Linked DNA regions of Bombyx mori. The protein of the gene in region 2 binds, or shares a complex with, the protein of the main gene of each other region. Links are inferred from orthologs where the notes say so. Each region holds a gene or a part of one and is shown on either strand. Other genes may lie near its edges. The genes, in order: mediator of RNA polymerase II transcription subunit 9 and mediator of RNA polymerase II transcription subunit 20.

Region 1 (3,436 bases), on a different chromosome or scaffold from region 2:
CAACTATATTTTACTTTTAATACAAAACTATTGCTCTAAAATGACTGGCTGGAAAGTGGCACATACTATTCAAATTAATCTAAAATCTATATTGATCTTTTTATCTAACTTAAAGGTTTTTCTAGTGATTGTTGCATAGTACAATTTAGTAGTTTTACTACCAAGGGTAGAACTCCTGTCGTTTTCTGGGGACGTAGTGACACTGATTAATCTAGACAGCCTCAAGCCATACCGCTAATCCACCTGTCACAATGGGTCGGCATATTTTCGCAAGTTAAATCACTAATAACCTCGAGGTTCTTATAACACTAATTAAAACTCAAGTATATATTTTTACAGCACTAAGCTTAATCTTTTAGGGTCACTTAAAATATTTGAACACTTAAAAATAAAAATTAAAGTTAATGAGATCAGAGTTTTGAATCATCATTGCCTTAACTCTGAAAACCTTATAATCGCAATAAAATTAGTGAAGCTAGCTGCTTTCTAAAAGTAAATATATTTTCAATATTTTGACATTTACAATGAATACCATTGCAATATTGTGATTTTTTCTTAGAATTAAGTAAAGTTTATATTTTTATTGATTTGTTCAGAGTGAGTGAAATAAAAATAGCTCTAACTATGTTACAGTTTTTTATTATCTAATTTAGTAGTTATATTATGTAAAGGACACTACTGATAGTGAATTACAATCAACAGCAACTAATCCATGGTTAGCCAAAAACATCCAAGGAACTATTATTATTTTTTCAGTTGTTTTTTTGCATCCTGTACTCCTTCCTTCAAATTTGCACTGAACCTTTTTAAAAACTCTATAAATTTATTAACTTTCTGTGGATCAACATCAGAGAGCTTTTCCTTCCCTCTGTAAAATACTGAGACAGCTAACTGAGCTGCTCTTCGTACAGGGTAGGACTCTGCAATCTTCTGTACAATTCGTTCATTATTGGCTAAGTATTTAAGCAGCGCACGTAGAGGCATCTTCACTTGAATGATGTCTCAAATGAGCACATATTCCGATACTTCTGTAAGAGTTCACGCTTTAATCTCAGCTGAGTGCGGAGCAGTTCAAATTGCTTCAGCTGGTCGTGTTTGTTGAATTCTATACCTGGGAGCCTCCTGATCTGAAATGAGTGATATATTATTGCAGATAATTGTGTACTGGTTGATGATATATTATGGCAGATACTTGTGTATGAGTTCATGATAAATTTGATTCCTCAAAATACAAAAATTATGCTGACTTAGCATATTATTTTTACATTACAAATGTTAAATACCAAGTATGTTTCCAGTATTTGAAAGTAATCTCACCTGAGCTTTAGCTATTTCTAGCCTCTTTTGTAATTCAAGAACTCTATGACTGCACTCGTGGGACTCGCGTATTTTCGACGCGTTGTCGTGAAAATCTCTCTCCACGCTGTAATAAAAACATTTAAAGCACCAGAAAATACAAAATGAACTTGAGCAAATCTAGTTTGTCTCAAATAATACGCAAAATACCTTCGTATTATATCGTATACAATCGGTAAAAAGTCTACATCTACATCCTCAACAGTCAGGGGACTGTAGTTCGTCTGTTCTGAATGATCTGTGTTGTTTTCCATTGTACAAATTTTAAGCACAATTTTTCACTTGCTTATTATGTAACAGATTTTATTATACGTACGTTGTTTATTAATTTATAAATTTATTAGATTATGGTTATTAAACACATAAACCTAGGTACGTAAAAAAGTAGGTAGATTCTTTACCATCACAAAACCGAAAACGACAAAAATAATGATGTGTTATTGTGTTATCTATGGACAGCAATGGACTATGGACGAAATCGCGGAGAATAAGTCGAATGTTTGTGTGATCGGTGTTCGACAAGCAAAGGAAATAAAGCTCATACACGAAATTTTTGGAACGAAGTTCTTTACGGCAGGCTTGGAGGAGATAGGGATTTTGCTGCACGTCCGAACTGAAAAAAATGTGATAGTAAAACCGTAAGAAAAAGTCCGTGGAATAAAACCGTTAAATAAGACGTGCGCAGGCGCGACAGTCATATACACAAGCGAGTAGTGTATAATACCTTTCTCTTTTTATGTATATTCTTAGTACGATGGCTATACAGTGTCTAATGTATAGTCTACGTGATGACGGTTATTATTATAATTCGTATAAATAGCTGTTTCTTTGTATATTATTATTATAATTTTTTATAAATCATTGTGAATAAAATAAAGTTGATAACTTTGTAATGTAATTATTATTATATTTTTATCAATAAAAAATAAAATAATAAAAATGTATACCTGAATAATTATTTTCTTTAGACCTCGAATAGAACTTGAAATTAATATTTTTATAATAAGGAACTTCGTTCCTATCCGGTGTCCCACGACACCACACATCTTTTTTTTACAAAGGCTGTAGTAATGTCTGTTAAAGAAAAGTAAAATAAAATGAAAAAAATGTTTGAAATAAAATGAATTTGAATGAAATTATATGACCATCGGTGTTTTATGGGACGAAATAAATTAATCAGTCTGAACAATAGTGAGAGTTTACTCGTCACTTAACTTTTTAGAAACGCTTGAAAAACCAAGTTCAACAACTTGGTTCCATTTTCTTAATCTTATCCACTTTCACGAATACGAAACCGTTGCTATTTATTAAACTTGTAGAAACACTGGATTAAGAAAATAGCACAACTCAGACAAGTTATCTTCTCCTATTTCTGCCAAGATTTTGGAATCGACTAAGAAAATAGAAATTTTTTAAACTACTTACCTATCATTATATTCTGCATAAATTTTAGGCCCGACTCTACGAAAGTTTTAAAATTCTACTAAGTTTATTCACGCTGAAGGTAATTGTTTTTACTCAACTAATTATAATATGTGCTTAGTGATTTTAATTAATTAAAAATATATCAATCAGAGGTGCTACGGTAATAAAATACCCCATTCTTTCTAAATCAAGAAGCTCTGTAGTGATACGTTTTAGTATTGAAATCGCATCAGATTTTAAGAACGCCAAATGGCACTTCGAAACATCAGTAGCAGGCTCTATCCGAATCATTTTCTATGGTTCGTACGTATATTAAAATATGAGTTAAGAGTGTGTTGCTGTGTGTTATTTTGTTTCTGACAGGGTATACGAGGAACGAAGTTTTTTTATTTTTTTATTTTTCTATTTAGTGTTTATTCAGGATTAAATGTGTAACTTAACAATAACGGTGGTTTATTAATAATTTAATATCTGTGAAAGTGCACCAATGTGGGAAAATGAAATAAAGCTGCTGGACGTTGCTTCTCGGGATCGTCTAAAAAGTTTACTGAAAAAGTTTCAGTAAATAACCACAATTTTACTGAAATTATATTTCATCCCATATCATCTCATCTCATTTCATTTAATTTTAGGTCAATTTATTAATGTTCCAAAT
Region 2 (3,331 bases):
ACAAAACTTGCATACGCCCCGTCATAACCTATGCAAGTGCAGTGTTCGCTCACGCGGCCTGCACTAACTTGAAACCCCTTCAAATCATTCAATCCCGTTTTTGCAGGATAGCCGTCGGAGCCCCGTGGTACATCAGAAACATCGACCTCCACGACGACCTGGACCTAGAGTCCATCAGTAAGTATATGCAGTCGACATCAGTGCGCCATTTCGCGAAAGCAGCACGACACGAGAACCCTCTCATCGTAGCCGCCGGTAATTACATTCCCGATCCTGCGGACCGAATGATAAACAGTCGACGTCGCCCAAAACACGTCATTTCGGATCCTCCCGATCCACTAACGGTGCTTTTAGGTACCCCAAGCACCGGTCATCGTTCTCGTCGAACCCTTCGCTTGCGACGAAGGGCTTGGCAAGTAAATGAATCCACAGACAAAGCCCACTGAGTTTCTCCCCAGATCTTCTCAGTGGGTCGCGTTTCCGATCCGGTGGTAGATTCTGCGAAGCATGGCTCTTGCTAAGGTTCATGTTGGCAACGACGCCAGGTTTGAGCCCCGTGATCTCACCTACTAGTTGGGTGAATCTAGAATAACCCCACGAGATCACTACATAGAATAGTAACAATATTTGTCTGATTAATGTCATTAGAAAGATTTAAAGTTCGAACCTCTCAAGTTTAACATTATTAACAATCTACCTGCCAGAGACAACTTTCTAAAAAAATCTCTTGACTCTATGTCCCTACTTAAAACATAACTACCAGACATTTGTCATAGAACAACTAAAAACGAATGAGTAAAATGTACATATTTATTTAATAAAAAAACACAAAACAGTCAACTTAGTTCATGTCGTTCTCATCCCTGTAGTCTTTCTGTAAGCACTGAAATGTTCTAAATACTGATATATTGTGTCTATTGGAGTGTATATTTCGTTCATTCTGCTTATTAGATGCTGAGGAGGTTGGACCGGAACAGTTGGCCCTAACAATCCTTGAAGGAACTCTCGAAGCAGACCCCAGACCGCATTAGCCATTACGCATGGTCTGTATTCTACCTAGAAATTATAGAACATATTCTAATGATACTGTGAATAATATCAATATAGTCTGAGATATTGAGGCAATGACAGAGAGTTAGGGAAAAGAGAATTGATAGATTGAATTGATTGATAGATTGACTCCTACACATCCAGTCTAGTCTATGCAACAATATGAAAGTCTAGCCGTTGCCCCTTGGCCAAAAATGTGTTTTGAGTATTAATTAGCACCAGATAGACGGTGAGCTCGAACATCTAATACTAAGAAAACTCAAAAAAAAGAGATGCCTAATGTATGCCTGACAATTAAATTTCCATAGAAAAAATAGCTTCATATTGTTATAATTATCAAGCCTATTCAATCCCCAAAACTAGGTATGACCTTTGGGCATATTTCTGCCACAAGGCACCACCACGCCACCAAGGTGTTCCACTTTAAATAATAGGTAACAGTTATCTAATATAATTGGCACTTCAACCTCATGTATTAAGGTAGCCAATGTCAAGTATGATATAATTTTCATGGTCCCTAATATTCACTACGCAAATTTTGAAAACTTTGACAACAACAGCAATCTATAAAAAACAAAGATTTTTTTAACATAATATTACGGAAGTATTCTTTTTAGGAACGTATTTCTCCATCTATCTTTATGTACTATTATAGATATAGTGACGGACGTTCTGGATGCCTCCAAGTGTTCACATATATTAACATAGCTATTCACTAATTATTCAATTCACTCACCTCAATCAAAATCCCTTTAAAATTCTGATTCATAGTAACTGATCCGAGCTTCACACAGAAATCTCCGAGCTCAAACCTAGGTCCTTTGCTCTCGATTTTGGTTTGTTTCTTAGAAGTATAATGCTGAGACAACTTCATCATTAACAAGTCAAATAGTCCGTCAGCTATGACGTGAATATTTTTCGTGCCACTTTCAAGGATTGAGAAGACAGACGCAGGCTGCTCAGAGTTGTGTAATATATGTACTGTTTTTGTTGTACCTGGAATATTTGAGTTACGTTTTTGCTGTCAGAAATTTTAAAAGCAGCATTAGACAAAACTTTAGGTAAGTGTGTTTCGTATTGTTAATTTCCACAAGCGTATGCAAGTAATGGTAACCGTTAAGTGGTCTGGCTGAATTTGATGAAAAGATAATAAATATTGGTATCAGCATCTCATCAACTTTTCAATTCAACTATCAAGTACACGATTAGCTTTGGTTTTTATAAATTCCTTGCATTTTATTTTTTATTGCTTAGATGGGAGCTCTCATCCCACCTGATGTTAAGTGGATGGATGGTGGTTACTGGAGCTCATAGATATCTACAACATAAATGCCCCACCCACCTTGAGATATAAGTTCTAAGGTCTCAGTATAGTTACAACGGCTGCCCCACCCTTTAAACCAAAAAGCATTACTGCTTCACAGCAGAAATAGGTGTGATGGTGGTAACCGTGAGGACTCACAAGACGTCCTACCGCCAGCAATTACACAAATTATAACTTTGCGGGTTCGATTTTTATTACACGATGTTATTCCTTCACTGTGGAAGTCAATCGTGAATATTTGTTAAGTACGTATTTCATTCGAAAATTGGTACCCACCTTCGGGCCACATAGGCCACGAGGACTTTAAGTACAATAAACTAGCTGACACCTTTGTAATGTCTGAAATATTTTCAAATATGTCATATCCATGTATTGGCGATGGGCTGTGTGATTTCTCTATAAATCGCTAAGTGGAATGTGTCTTTCTTTTTACTTTTAGCTTGGATTCAGTAAACACGTACCCATGAGTGGATGTGATAAATAACTCTCGCAATCAACCAGGAACTGTCCTTGTTGTGTCGCCCCTAATGCTAAGATACGCTTTGTAAGTAACTCCACTACATATGTTCCGGTCTTGTTCTCTGGCACTGGATATTGCTGTAAGCTGTCAAGTTAATAATTGAAACAGTTTATTAAATATAATCCACTCTTCACGATTTTTTTATGGTAGATTTTGTAGTTGTATCAAAAACATAATAAATAGATTTGTTTCGTTATTATTTTTAATGATACTCTTCCTTCAGTCTGGCCAAACTGTGTCAAAAATAAGCTACACTAACATGTATTTTTATTCGGGGATAGTTTTCATACACCGGATAAGGTTAAAGAAGAATTTGAGATAACGTATGAAGTCAAGAAGTTTACTTTCTACCTTTACATAGAGTTATTACTTTTATTAGTATTAGTATTATACATCGCGGTATATTTTTATGAATGTAATTATAGGAATACCACACA

The links.
Region 1: mediator of RNA polymerase II transcription subunit 20 (region 2) and mediator of RNA polymerase II transcription subunit 9 share a complex: the UniProt entries of both Drosophila melanogaster proteins name them as parts of the mediator complex. The link is inferred for Bombyx mori from reciprocal best matches to the Drosophila melanogaster genes MED20 and MED9.

What each region holds. Positions count from the first base shown.
Region 1 is NC_085116.1:15,850,701-15,854,136, reverse strand, and holds mediator of RNA polymerase II transcription subunit 9, read right to left. Parts: upstream 1,888-3,436; 5' UTR 1,611-1,887; coding exon 1,507-1,610; intron 1,424-1,506; coding exon 1,318-1,423; intron 1,128-1,317; coding exon 987-1,127; 3' UTR 624-986; downstream 1-623. UniProt on the Drosophila melanogaster protein: Component of the Mediator complex, a coactivator involved in the regulated transcription of nearly all RNA polymerase II-dependent genes.
Region 2 is NC_085134.1:1,809,156-1,812,486, forward strand, and holds the end of mediator of RNA polymerase II transcription subunit 20, read right to left. Parts: intron 2,979-3,331; coding exon 2,836-2,978; intron 2,047-2,835; coding exon 1,787-2,046; intron 1,057-1,786; coding exon 847-1,056; 3' UTR 797-846; downstream 1-796. UniProt on the Drosophila melanogaster protein: Component of the Mediator complex, a coactivator involved in the regulated transcription of nearly all RNA polymerase II-dependent genes.